Canis lupus familiaris: one gene and its partner. The protein of the gene in region 1 binds, or shares a complex with, the protein of each later gene. Links are inferred from orthologs where the notes say so. Each region holds a gene or a part of one and is shown in the gene's direction. Other genes may lie near its edges.

Region 1 (10,486 bases):
CATAGCAGTAGATGGTGACGCCAGCCACAGTCACTGTGGAGCGCGGGGCAAGGCAGGCAGTCACCCTTGGGGCTCTGTGCACTCCCAGCCCCGGCAGGTGCCAGGCCTAGCCCACTTCACTCACCCTTGTGGAACTGGGGGCTGTAGTGGATCGAGGGGTCCCTCCTCTGGGCCAGCACCAGCGTCAGATTGCCAGTGATGGCCAAGACGAAAGCCAGCGTGGCACAGATCCAGAAGGGGCCTGTGGGCAGGGCAGGGTGTGGGAAGGGGCCCAGGGTTCCCCGAACAGGAGACTTGTCCCATCTCAACTGTGCTGGGACCCCAGCTGCTTTCTAGGCTCGGGGCTACCTGCACACCACCCCCCGTCACTGATGACCTGGGCTGGCTGATCCCAGAGCTGGCCCTCAGTCCCTCAGCTTTCCTGACTTTTCTATCGCCTTTGCTGTAGCTGATCGCTTCCTTCTTCTGGAACCACTCCCCATGTGCTTTTAGGACTTCATGCTCCTGCTTCTGGCATGTCACATTCCTGGCTATTCCCCAACCTTTGGGACTCCCTAACCCCTTCAATAACGGGGACCCAGCCAGGGCCGGTCTTCAGCCATCCTCTCTGTGTTCACCCCTTGCACCATCTTGTCCCGCCTCAGGGGTTTAGGTCACCTCCAGGCTGATGACTCCCAAATGTCTCAAATTTGGTCTGTGCCATGAACCACTGGCTTTATAGTCAGCATTTCCACGTCACGTCTAGGTCTCTCCAACTCCAGCCTGCCCAGCCTTTCCAGTTGGTAAATGACAGTCCCATCCTTCTAGCAGTCCCGATGGAAATCCAGGAGCCACCCTTGCCTCTCTCCTCCCGCCCGACCTCAGGCGTGTCAGGGTGTCAGGAAGTCCCGTCGGCTCTGCCATGAGATCTCTTTCACAGTCCAACCACTGCTCTCCACCTGGGGCTGGGCCCATCACCCCACACCTGTACCATGGTGGCGGGCACTGCCTCTCTGGTCTCCTGGCATCTGCCCCTGCCCCCCCCCGCCCCCCATGGCCAGAGGAAGCCTCAGAGTCCTTAACTAAGACCCCTTCTCACTGAGACGGACAAAATCTGCACAGTCTCTCCTGTCACCTCTACGACCTCATGCAGCTCACTGCTCCAGTGACAATACTGCTCCACCACTGGACCTGTGCCCCCTTCTGGAATGTTCTTCCCCTATGTCTCCTCACCTTCATCCCTAACAAGGCCCATTCTTGCATCCTCCTCAGAGATGTCCTGTCTCAACCATGCAAAATGGCAACTCCCATCCTCTAAACTGTTTGCTTTTTTTCTGAGCCCCATTGCCCTCAGCAGCCTCTATATATCTGTCTCCCCAGATGGAATGCGTGCTTCCTGCCCTCTGGGAGTGCCCCTACTTTCTTCTCAGCTGGAATCCATGGGCTGGCACTCGGTCCACATGTGCTGAATGAATTATCGAGCTGAACGTACACCACCACTCACCATACAGGTCTGGCCGATTCCGCAGATGGTGCCGTACAAAGTTGTGGCCAGGCCGGGGCAGCAGTGAGCCTCTGATTCGGTCCAGGACCTGGGGACAAGGTGGGGCCCAGAATGGGAGCCTGCACAGGGCCAACACACACATCCCTCCACCAAAGAAAGAGGAAAGGGCTAAGCTCCTGCCCTTAGGGGCTCCTTCCCTGCTGAGCTCCCATCTCCTTGCCTGAAAAAGCTTGGATGTTCCCTGAGTTTTTGATGCCCCTTTCCCTGGCCAGCCCCAATACCCTAGCGCGCTACTGCTCTCAAGGACTCTTCCGGGTTGGTCATCTTTCTCCTTGCTTCTCCCTTCTCTTAGCTTGGCTGCCCTGAACAGCCTGTTATGTTGTGACATGCCTGGACCGTGAGGTGGGGAACAGTCAAATCCTGGGCATCCTCCTGCCTACCTCTCTTTCCACTATATTCCTTGTTCTGCACCCCAGGTTTAAGGCCTGGGGTCTCTGAGCCACCTTCCTAATTCAATTCATTCCTCTCCCGCTCTAAGCCCTTCTGTGGCTCCCCAGCACCCTCACGATGAAACTCAAACTAGCACAGCGTACGAGGCCTTTGTGGTCTGGGTTCTGCCTGCCTGTCCCCCACCTCAATCTCCAACCAGATCAAGTGACAGGTAGCTCGTGACACCTTCTCTCACCTTTGGCCCTCTGCATCTGCTGTTCCCTGCACCTGCCATACGTGCTTCCCTTCACGTCTCTGCACATTCCTCACCTCCTCCAGGAGGCCCTTCTCTAACCTGCGTGACTATATGCAACTGTGTTCCCACGAGCCCATCACACCATAATCCTGACAGCGCACCACAGTCCACCAGCCCGTGTAGGGGCCCGTGTCCTACCGCCTGGGCATCACCAGCATTCTGGTGTCTAGGAAGGGCTCAGTGAACAGTGGCTGGACCCCCGTGTGACCGCAGGCCCCATCCCACCAGCTTCCCGGGCCTGACCTGGGATGTGTCCACGTCAAAGAAGCTCTGATAGTAGCTAAAGGTCCAGAATCCGGGCTGCTGCTTCTCCTCCTGCAGGAGCTGCAGGGATGGCATGGGCTTTCAGCGGCTGCCCTTCCCGCCTGGGCGGAGCGCGGGGGCAGGGCTGGGTGCAGGCAGGGCCTGAGGCTCTCACCGCAGTCTTGTCACTCTCCTCAGCCTCCTCAGATCCGTAGATACCACCCGAGTCCACCTCCACCGCCACGTGCCCCTGTGGGGCCAGCTGACCGCGGCCACTCGTGGTGGCCGCATCTGGGGTCTCCGCCAGCAGACTAGAAGCTTCCTCGAACTCTATGGAGAAGGAATACGGGACAAAGGCATGTTTTGGGAGTCAAGACAATTTGGTTTGGCCCACTGCTCGGCTGGGGGACAACACTCCACCTGGGGCTACCTAAGGGCCCAGCTTCCTAAGTTTTGGGGAGTTGTAAGGTGTGTCCCCCCGCCCCACAAGGGCCCACCACTTAAGGCTGGTTCCGGGATGGGGTCAGGTCTGGGACCGAGGCTCAGGCTGGGAGCGGGGTTCGGGTCAGGGTCGGGGCTTCAGGCCGGCTGTCGGCGGGCACCCGGGTGGGAGGGTCCGGGCGGCGGAGGGAGTAGGAGCTCGGGCCAGGTCGCCGCCCACTCACCGTGGAAGGCCAGCTCGTCGGCCGCTGCCATGGTCGCTCAGGGGCGTCACCGCATCCCGCTCTGAGGACAGAGGCCAATGACGCCCGCCCCCAACCACACTCGGTGCCCCTCCCCCCAGGTCCATCCCTCAGCCCGGAGCCCAGCCAGGCCGCTAGGGCACCGAGCGGGGGGTGACCTCGCCGCCCCCGCCCCACAGGTGCACCCCGCCCCCCTCACCTGAGGCTCCCTCAGCCGGCGTGGCCCAGGCTCTCTGCGCCTGCGCGGCCCGCCTCCCGGCCTCCGCCGGCCGCGCTCCGACCCGACAGCAACATCCGGCAGCGGTCCGAGTTCCGTCTTGTTCCGATGGGAAGCCACTTCCGGCACCGTCGACGCTGGCGCAGGAGGCCCCCGGGCCTTTTACTTCGCACACGAGGCGTTTCGCTTCGGAAAACGGACTCTGAGCCGGAAGAGAATGGCGACGGCCGCTCTGAAGAGATTGTGGTCCCGAAACCGTGAAGGATCTGGTGGCCCGGCGGCCGCGAAGCCGGGCGTGTGGGCGCGGCTGGGTGAGTAGCGGCGGGCGGCGGCGGGAGGGTGGCCACGGCGGCCTGCTCTCACCTGTGTGTTCCGCTTCTCCCTCAGGCGCCTGGGCCCGCGTGCTGCTCCGAGACTACGCCGAGGCTTGCGGGGACGCGGCGGCGGCGGCGCGGGCCCGGCCCTGGCGGGCGGCCGTGTACGCGGGGCTGCTGGGGGGCGCGGCGGCCTGCTGCGCGCTGGCGCCCAGCGAGGCGGCCTTCGAGGAGGCGCTGCTCGACGCGTCGGGCATCCTCCTGCTGCTGGCCCCCGCCACGCGCAACCGCGCCTCCGAGGACTGTGTGCAGCGGCTGCTCTGGCTGCGGGGGCGCGGCCGCCTCCGCCACGTGAACCTGGGCCTCTGCGCGCTCGTGTACGAGGCGCCCGTCGACGCCCAGGCCAGCCTCTACCAGGCTCGCTGCCGCTACCTGCAGCCCCGTTGGGCCGACTTCCCGGACCGGATCCTGGACGTGGGCTTCGTGGGCCGCTGGTGGGTGCTGGCCGCCCGGATGCGCGACTGCGACATCAACGACGAGGAGTTCCAGCACCTGCCGGCCCATCTGCGCGTCGTCGGACCCCATCAGCTGCATTCTGAGACGAACGAGCGCCTCTTCGACGAGAAGTACAAGCCCGTCGTGCTCACAGACGATCAGGTTGACCAGGCGCTGTGGGAAGAGCAGGTGTTGCAGAAGGAGAAGAAGGACAAACTCGCCCTGAGCCAGGCCGACTCCCTGGTGCGGTCGGAGGTCCCCAGATGAAACCCAGGCCTGGATCCGGAAGGGCGCGGAGCGCTGGCTGACCGTCCACCCGGGATGGCATCCGCTGTGTTTTAGCCTCAGATCCAGAGTGACTTAAATAAATTATGTGCACAGTGTTCTTTCCCTGGGTTTTCACAACCTTTCCGGCCTCTCTCCCGCTCATCTGGTTCCTTGTTAGTTGAAGCTGATTCAGAGTTAGCTTGGTCTAGGCCTAACCTTGGGTCAAGGAGTTGGGGGAGAGCAAAGCGACAAGACCAGGTAATGTTTATCACTGCCAGAGTTAATAATGAGCCTTATACATATATATATAAGCCTTTTTTACTGAGCTTCCCAGTCCCTCCACCGAGGTACCACATTTGTCAGGTGACTCCAAAGCTCTCCTAATACCATTCAGATTTTCACTTTATTTTTATTTTTTTAAAAAAAGAGTTTATTTTATGAGAGAGAGAGGCAGAGGCTCCCTGTGGTGAACCGGATGCAGGATTCGATCACAGAACCCCAAGATCACCACCTGAGCCAAAGGCAGACACTCAACCACTGAGCCATCCAGGTGCCCCCAGATTTTCACTTTAAATTTGGAATTGCAATGTTTATCTTCTTTCATTTTCATGAGTAGCATTTTTAATTATTTCAAAATAAAGTTAAAAAGCAGTTTCAGAAGAAAGTGGAAAAATAACCCAAAGACATTCTGTGTATCCTTCACCCAGTTTACCCCAAATGGTAATGTTTTACAATAAACTACAGCAAACTAGGAGATTGCCAGTGGTATGACTATAGATTTTACAGGGAATCTTTCTGCAAAAACCTTCCCCCCCCACATATGACAGTGATATCAAACTGATTTGGAAGGATAAAGCATTTTTTTAAAAAATCTGGAATTAACTATGGAATCACAGATTATTATTTCAGTCACCCTGGAAACCCAGAATACTATTGAATGGAATAGGTTAGTCTACAGAGCTGGTATTTAGGTTGTGATAACCCTACTTTAAAAATGGATAGAGGAATGAGATTACCTCCGTGAACCTAGGTGACCCATGGCTGGCTCAGTGGGAAGAGCAAGACTGACTCTTGATCTTGGGGTCATGAGTTCAAGTTCCATATTGGGTATAGAGATTACTAAAAAGAAAAGTAAAAAAACCCCCATGAGATGAAGCAACCATCTTTGCTGTGACGTTTGAGTTCATGTATTTTGTCATTCAGTTTTGGTACTCAGACTTTCCATTGTGGGTATGCTGGACACATGGTGATTTTTATATCCTTATTTTTGGGACAGGGGAGCATCTTGTAAATCAACATCTTCATTACAATGGAAAAAGTGATGTTCAAAAAGCTGATTTTTCCAAGGCTGTGGCAGAGCTATGATTCAAATGGTAACTCCCAACCCTGTGCCTTAATCCTCAAACTTGGGGTACTGTATTGGATCCTAGCAACATCTTGCCAGGAATTATTAAATGCTGCTATCATTAGCCATAAATAAAACTTGAATACTGAAATAAGTGAATATAGAAATGAAACGTAATGGGAACAAAAAGCAAATGATACTAAACTATGGTCCTATACTGTTACCTGCCAAAGGCTCTGGGCCTAAATCCGGATGTTTTTGTTCAAGACAGATATTAACCAACTTCAGGGAAAGCTTTAAGACACATCAGCATCAAAGTGAGACTTGTTCTTCACCGTGATCAGTGAGAGCTGCACTTGCTCACTGCTTGTGTTGGTTATTAAATGCCTCTTCTAACATTCAGCCAGAGTGTGTTCTGTGCAGTCCCCCTACAGCTGTGAGGAGTTGTTGGCAACAAACTAAACAGCTCTCAGTGTTCTAGGGATTTAGGGGCTTAGTGTAGGCCTAAAGTCTATGTGGTTTTGTCTTTGGTTGCAAGATTGGCTTTTCCCAGTGGAGTCTTACCATATTTTTGCTTCCCTCTCTAGTACCTCTTGCCTTCTGAGTTGTAAAGCTCATGGACTGGAACTGGTAGATGGAACAAGGACTGGGTGTTGGGGTGTACACAGGCTCCCAAAGGATGGTCTTGTTCGCTGCTGAACTCCCAACACCCTCTAGTGCTCAGTCCAGTATGGGCCCCAGCAAATGCTGAGAGAGTTAAATGGGATGATGCCTGTGTTCATTGTGGGCAGAAGCTTGTCTGGTCCTGCTGGGGAGAGGGAAACAGTGCAGGACTGGCTCCTCATCCTTTGGTCAGCCCAGAAGAGATCCCCCAGGCTTCACCCAGTACCAGAAACAGCAAGGTGGACAAACTTTCTCTTCATAAGGGCATTAGGGTCTGGGGAAGAAGTGGGACTTAAAAATAGAGTTTGGGTCTCAGCTTTCACACCAGCTTTGTGATTGACCTGGGCCGGAACAACTAGGTAAGAAAGAGAAAAGCCATCCAAATTGGAAAGGAGGAAGTAAAACTTACTATATGCAGATGACATAGAAAACGCTAAAGACCCCATCAAAAAAACCCTGACAGAGGGCAGCCCGGGTGGCTCAGTGGTTTAGCACCTGCCTTCAGCCCAGGGCGTGATCCTGGAGACCTGGGATCGAGTTCCGCGTCAGGCTCCCTGCGTGGAGCCTGCTTCTCCCTCTGCCTGTGTCTCTCTGCCTCTCTCTCTCTATCTCATGAATGAATGAATAATATCTTTAAAAAAAAAAAAAAACTGACAGAACGAATGAATTCGGGGGTGCCTGGGTGGCTCGGTAAGTTAAGCATCTGCTTTTGGCTCCGGTCATGATCCCTTTCCCTCTGCCCCCACCCTGTGTTCGTTCTCTTTCTCTCTCTCAAATCAATAACATATTTTTTCAATTTTTTTTTAATTTTTACTTATGATAGTCACACACAGAGAGAGAGAGAGAGAAGCAGAGACACAGGCAGAGGGAGAAGCAGGCTCCATGTACCGGGAACCCGATGTGGGACTTGATCCTGGGTCTCCAGGATCGCGCCCCGGGCCAAAGGCAGGCGCCAAACCGCTGCGCCACCCAGGGATCCCAATAACATATATTTTTTTAAAGATTTATTTATTCATTCAGAGCGAGAGAGAGAGAGGCAGAGACACAGGCAGAGGGAGAAGCAGGCTCCATGCAGGAAGCCCGATGTGGGACTCGATCCCGGATCTCCAGGATCACACCCCCGGCTGCAGGCGGCGCTAAACCGCTGCACCACCAGGGCTACCCTCAAATAACATCTTTGAAAAAAATCCAAGTGAATTCAGTAAAGTTGAAGGATAAAAAATACTCAAAAGTGTTGCATATATATACGCTAATAACTAACAAATTCAGAAAACAATCTCATTTATAATTACATCAAAACACCACCTAGGAATAAATTTAACCAAGGAGATGAAAGACCTGTATGCTGAAAATTACAAGACAAAGACAAAAAAACAAAACAAAAAAAAAACCATAAAAAACCAAAGACATAAATGTAAAGATACTCAGGGCTCATGGATGGGGAGAATATTGTTCAAATGTCCACACTACCCCAATCTACAACCCTACCAAAATTCCAGTGGCATTTCATAGAACTAGAAAAAAATCCTAAAATTTGTAGAGAACCACAGAAGACCTTAAACAGTCAAAGCAATCTCAAGAACAAAGCTGGAGGCATCAGGCTTCCTGAGAACAGTGTAGTTGGTATCAGTATCAAACAGACATGCAGCTCAGTGGAACAGAATAAAAAGCCCAGAAATAAATCCATGCATATATGGGTAATTAATTTACAACAAAGGAGCCAAGAACATACTAGGGGTAGGGGAAAGTCTTCGATAAATAGTGTTGGAAAAACTGGACAGCCACGCGCAAAAGAATGCAACTGGGCCACTATTGTGCACCACACACATGAAGTAACTCAAAATAGATTAAAGAACCTAAGATCTGAAACCATAAAACTCACAGAGGAAAACAAGCAGTAAGCTCGACATTGGTCTTAGTGATGATTTTTTGGATTTGGCATCAAGGGCACCGGCAACAAAAGCAAAAATAAATAAATGGAATGACAGCAAACTAAAAAGCTGCACAGCAAAGGAAACCAACAAAATGAAAAGGCAACCTAGCAAACGGGAGAAAATATTTCTAAATCATATTTTATATATATATATGGATATACATATATCCAAAATATATAAAGAACTCATACAATTCAATCAGGAAAAAATCTGATTTAAAAATGGGCATCCAGGGATCCCTGGGTGGCGCAGCGGTTTGGCGCCTGCCTTTGGCCCAGGGCCTAATCCTGGAGACCCGGGATCGAGTCCCGTGTCGGGCTCCCTGGGTGGAGCCTGCTTCTCCCTCTGCCTGTGTCTCTGCCTCTCTCTCTCTCTCTCTCTCTCTCTCTCTCACTGTGTGCCTATCATAAATAAATAAAAATTAAAAATAAATAAAAATAAATAAAAATAAATAAAAATGGGCATCCAGGGGCACCTGGGTGGCTCAGCGGTTGGGCGTCTGCCTCTGGCTCAGGGCATGATTCTGGAGACCCAGGATCGAGTCCCACATCAGGCTCCTCGCAGGGAGCCTGCTTCTCCCTCTGCCTATGTCTCTGCCTCTCTCTCTCTGTCTCTCATGAATAAATTTAAAAAAATGGGCATCCAGACATCTAGATGGCCAACAGACACATGAAAAGATGTTCCACATCACTCATCGTCAGAGAAATGCAAATCAAAACCACAAAACCACAATGAGATATCACCTCACACCTGTCAGGATGGCTAGTATCAAAAAGACAAGAAATAACAAATGTTGGCCAGGACATGGAGAAGAGGGAACCCTCACATACTGTTGGGACTGTAAAGTAGTGCAGCCACTGTGGAAAATAGGATGGAGTTTCCTCAAAAAATTAAAAATAGAACTAACATATTATCTAGGGGCATCTGGGTAGCTCAGTTGGGTTGAACCTCTGACTGCTGATTTCGGTCAGGTCATGATCTCAGAGTCCTAGGATGGGAGCCCTGAGTCACGCTCCCTGCTCAGCAGGCAATCTGCTTGTCTCCCTCTCCCTCTGTCCCCCCACCCCCAATGCTTGGTCTTTCTCTGAAATAAACCTTAAAAAAAAAAAAAAAAAAAGGAACTACCTTATGATCCAGCAAATCTGCCCCTGGATATTTATCTGAATTAAAAACTTACTCAAAAAGGTATCTGCACCCCCATGTTCACTGAAGCATTATTTACAATAGCCAAGATATGGAAACATCAGTTGATCATCAGTTGATGAATGGATAAAGAAAATGTGGTGAAATGTGAAAATTTTATTACTGAGCCATAGAAAATAAGACAGTCTTGTCATTTGTGACAACACGGATGGTCCCCTGAAGGCATTATGCTATGTGAAACAAAGACAAATGCCAAATGATCTCACTTATATGTGGAATCTAAAAAAAGCCAGAAAAGCAAAGAAAAAACAAACGAACAAAAAAATGAGCTCACGGATACATAGTAGGACTGGTAATTGCCAGAGAATGGGGGCAGGGTGGGCAAAATGGGTGAAGGGGTCAAAAGGTACAAACTTTGAGTTCTAAAATGAGTAGGTCATGGGGATGTAAGATACAGCACGGTGACTATAGTCAATGATATGGTATATATATATATTTTTAGAGATTTTATTTTATTTATTCATGAGAGACACAGAGAGAGAGAGAGAGAGAGAGAGGCAGAGACACAGGGCCTCTCATTCCCTGACACTCCCTGCTCAGCGGGGAGCCTGCTTCTCTGCCTTTCTCTGTGATTGCTTTCGCTCTCTGGTAAATAAATAAAATCTTAGGGATGCCTGGGTGGATCAGCAGTTGAGCATCTGCCTTCAGCTCATGGCTTGATCCTGGGGTCCAGGGATCAAGTCCTGCATCCAGCTCCCTGTGAGGATCCTGATTCTCCCTCTGCCTATGTCTCGGCCTCTCTCTGTGTGTCTCTCATGAATAAGTAAAATCTTTAAAATAAATGAACAAATAGATAAATAAAATCTTTTGAAAGAAATAGAATTTGAATCACACTTACGGGCTTTGTGACTAACCGAGGACAGGTGGAGTGATTTCAGACCTCAGGTTCCTTAT
Region 2 (6,597 bases), on another chromosome or scaffold:
GTGTATCTTTCCACATGCACACCCAGGTCCCCAGTATCTTCTCACGGACCCCCAACCCCACCAGGACTCAGGTGATCACTCATGCGTTCAACCATTCAACAGACTACTATTTGAGGTCACAGCAGTGGCCAAGGGAGAGAAAGTCTGTGCTGTTTTGGAACTTACCCCCATGCAGCTGTTTCCTCCCATCAGATTAACCCCTTTCCAGGGCTCAGGAGCCTACTCCTCCCGCTCTGGTATGTTCTCCATTGCTTGGCCTCTCACACTCCCTTAGGGTTGCTTCCCCTTTCCTTCAGGTGGTCTCTCCCTCCTCCATCCCATGCACCCCCTCCTCCTGCAGCCCTCCCCCTGCAGGCCCTAGTTGAATCAGTTGGTGTCCGTTCTTGGCCTCTGGGAAAAGCCACATTTTCCCAGCACATAGTGATCCCTTCCAAAGTCAGTTATGTCCCCCAGGTGTGTTAGTCCCCGCCCCCCCCCCACCCCACACCTGGGCATCAGGTGTGTCCTCATCCTTCCCCAGGGCTCTGTAGCATCTTTCCCTCGGGGCAGGCTCGTGCATTCAACTTCCCCTTGCCCAAGTATGTCCTTCTCACCTCGGGCCGGGCCGCTCTTCCCCTCAGGGCGCCAGGCCCGGGCCGCGCGGGGACCTCGGGCTCCAGTTCCCGTCGCGATCCTAGCAGCAGGTCAGGGACTCGGCGGAAGTGACGTCCCCTCCCGGGCAGAAGAAGCCGGCCACGTCGCAGACTATAAGGGCGGAGATGACGTTAAAGCCAGGGGCGGGGCGATCCTTGAGGCAACCCCTCAGTCCCCGGGGAGCCAGGAGAGGTCACTTCCGGGGCGTTACCAAGAGGCTGTGCGGAAGTGACGTGCGTGCGCCGGTGGCGCGATGGAGCCGCAGCAGCAGCAGCAGCAGCAGCAGCAGCTGAGGAACGTGAGTGGGTGCTAAGTCGCGACGGGGCCATCAGTTCAGCTGGCATCTTCGTCCGTTTGGCTGGAGGGCGGAGGGTTGGGAACGTCGCGCTCTGGCGCGCCGTCCTGGGAAACCTCGAGGGCGCGGCCTCGAGGTGCCCCCTTATCGCTGGGCTCTTTGTCCCCTTCTCTCCTAGTTGCGGGACTTCCTGTTGGTCTACAATCGGATGACGGAACTCTGCTTCCAGCGCTGCGTGCCCAGCTTGCACCACCGAGCTCTGGACGCTGAAGAGGTTAGGTGGGGTTCGCCGTAGACTGTCCCCAACCTCCACCGCCCCTACCTCTGGCCCGGGCCTTTCCATGACCCTTGCCCCTGGGCCAGGGATGGGACGGACACCAGTGGACACCAATGCTTCACCCTGTCTTCCTTCCAGGAGGCCTGTCTGCACAGCTGTGCTGGGAAGCTGATCCATTCCAACCACCGCCTCATGGCCGCTTACGTGCAGCTCATGCCGGCTCTGGTACAGCGCCGCATCGCAGACTACGAGGCTGCCTCAGCTGGGCCAGGTGTTGCTGCAGAACAGCCCGGAACCTCACCATCAGGCAGCTAGGAAGGGAGGCGCTGGATGGACCCTCAAACTGAAGGAGCCAGTGGACCTTGGGCTGGATGCAGCCCATATATAGAGTGAGGGGTTGTCTGACAGCTGGGTAGTATTGCTCCTTTTCTTGGAGCCAATAAACCCACTTTTGCACTGTTTGATTTATGTTCTGGGCACGGAAGCTTTGCCCGCTTTATTGGCCCCATCCTTTATCCTGTCAGCGCATATCTGTTGGCTTCAGCCCTGGCAGTGGAGAAATTGGCTTCTATGTGTAGAAGGAAAACCTCAACATTTCCTGGCACCTGGTTAAAACAAGGCCTGTGGGTACAATTTTTTCTTTTGTAAAGAGTTTATTTATTCACGAGACACACAGAGAGCGGCAGAGACATAGGCAGAGGGAGAAGCAGAGGCTCCCTGTGGGGAGCCCGATGCCGGACTTGATCCCAGAACCCCAGGATCCTACCCTGAGCCAAAAGCAGACGCTCAATGGCTGAGCCACCCAGGTGCATCTTACTTAATTCTTTCTTTTTTTTAAAGATTTTGTTTATTTATTTATGTGAGAGAGAGAGAGAGAATGAGCAGGGGGAGGGGCAGAGAGAGAAGCAGACTCCGGGCCTAGCAGGGAGCCAGATGCGGGGCTTGATCCCAGGGCCCTGGGATTATGACTTGAGCCAAAGACAGACACTTAACCAACTGCACCCAGGCACCCCTGTGGTACGATTTTAATGTTAGTAATAGCAATAGGAAGTTGGTTCCTGCCCAGATGGCAGAGAAAATAAGAGCTCTTCTTGTTGTCCTTCACTTAAATCTGACTTAATGGTTTATTTGTGAGCTGGGTGTGCATTCATTTATAACTCTTTTCATGGGCTCTAAAGAATTCTCCTAAATTTAGGGGAAGGAGGAGATACCTAAGAATAACAGATCAAGAAATCACAGGGTTTTTGTATGCAGTGCCTTCTGGAAAGTCAGTAGCCCCGTAACTGAAATGAAACCTGTAAGATTTCGGGGTGTTCTGGAACTTCAGCCATTTTCCCAAGTTGTTATTTTCTTATTATTTTCTGTCTTCCCCAGGATGAGCAGTAAAGCTTTTACACAAAGAAGGTCTGTGTGCTTGTCTTCAGGAGCAGTCAGAAAGGGGGAACTTGGAGGACCATATTCTACAATATAGCCAGACCCAAGGAACAAAAGCTCAGGGGAGAAATAGATGATGATGGTTATGGGGAAAAAGATAAAACAAATCCTTGGGACCTCTTTATCGTTACCTCCAAGTCTATAATCTAATTCCAGCTCTTCTGTCCTCTACCCATCATTGTTTTCATTGTCCCGGTTTTGTTATTTCCATGCTGAGCCTCTCTATCTTTCTCTCATTTATTGCCCTCATAAAATTTACTTGTGCCACCATTCTAAATGGCCTATCACCCCATCACCGCATTTTCTTGCCTCCCTTGTGTCCTTTTTGTATCATTCCAGCTGTTTTACCTTTACTGTTCTTCTGTTCAGACTGCTAGACAAAAACACAGCTGTGTAATGAGTGGCACTAACCATTCAAGGTCTCCAGCGTCAACCAACAAGCAACCCTTTGTGGCTTCCTGGTATATTTTTGTCTCCTAATCACCAAGGCAGTTAGTTTACACCTTCACTGCTCTTATCCCCCATTTCACGTTCAGCTATCCTCCATCAGGGGACCATGTTTCATTTTTTACGGAGGAAATGGAAGCTCTTAGACATTGGCTCCCATAAAACTCCTTACAACTACCCACAAAGCAGACATTTTTTCCCCTATGTGGATCAGGAAGTTGAAATTCTCTAGTAGCAGACTTTATTAAGATACAGATTAAGATATTAATCTGTATCTTAATATTAAGATATTAATATCTTTTTAAGATACAGATACAGATCTGGCTTTAAAATCCATGCACTTCTGGGCAGCCCCAGGGGCTCAGTGGTTTAGTGCCACCTTCAGTCCAGGGCGTGATCCTGGAGACTGAGGATCGAGTCCTGTGTCAGGCTCCCTGCGTGGAGCCTGCTTCTCCCTCTGCCTGTGTCTCTGCCTCTCTCTCTCTTTGTCTCTCATGAATAAATAAATAAATAAATAAGTAAATAAATAAATAAATAATCTTTTTTAAAAAAATAAAATCCATGTACTTTTTATTACACCAGGCTGCCTCTCAAAATACCATTGAGCCATCTGATTTGTATGGGTTCCAGTGCTGGTATATGTCCTGCTTTATCTCAGCCTTTTTTTTTTTTTTTTTTTAGATTTTATTTATTCATGAGAGATGTAGAGACAGAAGAGAAGCAGGCTCCCTAGGCTGCTGCAGGACTCGATCCCAGGACCCTGGGGTCACACCCTGAGCTGAAGGCAAATGCTCAACCACTGAGTCACCCAGGCATCCCTATTTTAATCTATAGCAAAACTACAAGTAAGAGATATTATTCCCCACTTAATGGATGAGGAAGCAAGAATCCAGAATGTATCAGAGCCCCATGTTTACGTAGTTACCTCTTGAGAAAAGTTGCTCCAAATGGCTTTTCATCTCTTTAGTTCCTATATCTTCAACAGATGGTTGCTAGGAATGTACAAGCTGCTGACCAGGAAATTCCCTACTGAATGGGTTTGTGTCTACTCATTAAAATTTTCTCCTTGGAACGTAAAACTTCAGCTAAAGCAGCTTGTGAACTTAACCAGTTCCAAGACAGGAATGGAGACCTTGAATACTGTGCTGCTGGTGGGAGGACTCTTCCGTGGACATTTGCGTGTATCCTTGCAGTAAATTTCCATTGCGAATCATCTGTTTCCATGTCACATAATTACTACTTGCTGGAGCAGGGCTGAGAAAGATCTGTCTTGACTCTAGAGGCTATGTTCTTTGAATTTCCAGAATTTATATTTGTTTGCTCATGTGCACCCAGCCTGTCCCTAGGGATGAAAAAACAAGTATCCATCAATTAATCCCTTAAGTTTTTAACCTCTTCTTCCCTCTCTGTTTATAAATACGTTCAGTACGTAGAAGAACTCTACTGTTGCTACCTATCTCCTGTAGTCACTGACATCTTCCTCAGGTCTCATCATAAAGTGACGTCCATTGGCGTAATGAAAGCAGTGTGATGTTTCAAGCATGACACAAGAATTTTTTTTTTTTTTAAGATTTTATTTATTTATTATGAGAGATACAGAGAGGGAGAGGCAGAGACACAGGCAGAGGGAGAAACAGACTCCATGCAGGGAGCCCGACATGGGACTTGATCTCGGGTCTCCAGGATCAGGCCCTGGGCTGAAGGCAGCGCTAAACTGCTGAGCCACCTGGGTTGCCCACGACACAAGAATGTTAACAAAGCTTTATCCCTTATCACATCATTTTGGAGACAGAGTTGATGTTCTTGCCATTGTGACTTCAGAACTTAACTGCCTATTCCTTTGCAAAATCAGATTCCTTTGGGCCTATTGAACTATACTACCCTTCCTCATTACTGGTCCTTAGGAACCACTGCTCTCCTACTTTCCTCGAAATGGCTAGCCCTTGGTTTTCCTATCAACCCCTTGGTACTTTAATGTTACTGGATAGTCCATTCAGTATTTTGGTTTCTCAGTCCCTTTTCTCATTCTTCAATAATTTCCACTCTGTCTTATCCACCCACTCCCTTAGCTATGTCCTAGCCATTGTCATTTCCCCCAAACTGCTCCATCTTTAATACACTATTTACTGACTATTCCTTCCACTTTGTTTATTGATTTATTCCTTTACTATTATTCTTTGGTTTTGCTGGAGCATTCAAACCATTGATTCTACCTTCATTCCATTAACACCTCTGTCTTTAGATTCCTATCCAGCTTAAATTCCAGTCATTCTCTTGGAACAGGCTACTCCTGTTTTTTGTCATCTCTTTGTTGGACTCAGATAAAATGAGGTATTTGTCTGCCTGCATTTGGACAGCTAAAAGCTGAAGGAAATCACTACAGAGCAGATTTATATCACTGAATTTGTGGTTACCAGCATCAAATGGAGTCTCAACCCCTATAATCCCACTAGATTTTTCCAGTCTCCGATGCTCCCTGCAATGACTTTTTTGAATCAATATTCTTAAGCCTGTTATTACCCTAACTATTCTCTTCAATTTTGTGCAGGTAACTTTATTTTTTAATTCATAGGTTAAAAAAAAAAAAAAAAAAAAAAGCTGACAGTTGGGAGCTACCACAAAATCTCACAACAAAACTTGGTCACCCACCTGTATCTGCATCTTTCTCTCATTCCCTCCATCTAAGCAGGGCAAACATGCCAATGCCTATTCCTGCTCTGAATTCTAGTCCTTCTTTGGGAATCTCTGACTTTTTCCTATTTCACTCTATTCTCACCATCGTTCAAACATGCTAGAAACTCCCCTGTTACAACAAACAAACCACTTCCTTTATTCCTCTCTAGGTACTATTATTTTCCACCTTACAGCTTAACTTCTTAAAACAGTTGGATACTGTGGCTCTTCCCATTCCCGTTCCTCCACCCAGTCTATTTTGACATCAATCTTTATTCTATTGAAATTGTTCTTGATGAGGTCACCCTGGCCCACCAAATGACTTTCATATCCCTGAATTCAGTGATGATTTCCCAGTCCTCACTTACTTCATTTCTCAGTAGCATCTGGTAAAATGGACTAGTTCCATTGTCAGTCTTTCACTGGTGTCTGATTCCACTCATGGTTCTACTACTTTCACCACAGCTTCATAGCCTCCTTTGAGGATCACCTGCTTCCAGCCTTTACATCTAAAGGTTTCTCTAGGGCCTGTTAGACATTTTTCTAGGACAGTGTCCTCCCCACTCAGCTTCAGTTATTCATGCCTCCCAGATCTCTCCTCTGAGCAACTTGATTGACATTCCCACTTAGATATCTCAAAAACATCCCCAACTCAAAGGTTTTCCTCATCAGCTTTCCTCCAATACCTAGTACTTTTCCAGTTGCAGAAGGTAGAAACCTCACTCAGTTGCCAAATTCCATCTGTTTACATTTTACATTTCTAAATATCCCCCTTAATTCGGTCTGCTTCTCCCCATTTTTGTAATCTTCCAACAGGGTCACTGCAATTGCTACTTTA

Evidence for each region. The genes of interacting proteins can lie anywhere in the genome.
Region 2: TIMM29 (region 1) and TIMM10B share a complex: the UniProt entries of both Homo sapiens proteins name them as parts of the TIM22 complex. The link is inferred for Canis lupus familiaris from reciprocal best matches to the Homo sapiens genes TIMM29 and TIMM10B.

Annotation. Positions count from the first base shown.
Region 1 is NC_049241.1:50,719,766-50,730,251, reverse strand, and holds TIMM29 (mitochondrial import inner membrane translocase subunit Tim29), read left to right. Parts: upstream 1-3,362; 5' UTR 3,363-3,588; coding exon 3,589-3,682; intron 3,683-3,758; coding exon 3,759-4,447; 3' UTR 4,448-6,190; downstream 6,191-10,486. Other genes in the region: protein YIPF2, read right to left, coding at 1-33, 125-241, 1,484-1,571, 2,472-2,552, 2,647-2,801, 3,137-3,167. UniProt on the Homo sapiens protein: Component of the TIM22 complex, a complex that mediates the import and insertion of multi-pass transmembrane proteins into the mitochondrial inner membrane.
Region 2 is NC_049242.1:30,305,585-30,312,181, forward strand, and holds TIMM10B (mitochondrial import inner membrane translocase subunit Tim10 B), read left to right. Parts: upstream 1-791; 5' UTR 792-886; coding exon 887-931; intron 932-1,106; coding exon 1,107-1,202; intron 1,203-1,343; coding exon 1,344-1,520; 3' UTR 1,521-2,608; downstream 2,609-6,597. UniProt on the Homo sapiens protein: Component of the TIM22 complex, a complex that mediates the import and insertion of multi-pass transmembrane proteins into the mitochondrial inner membrane.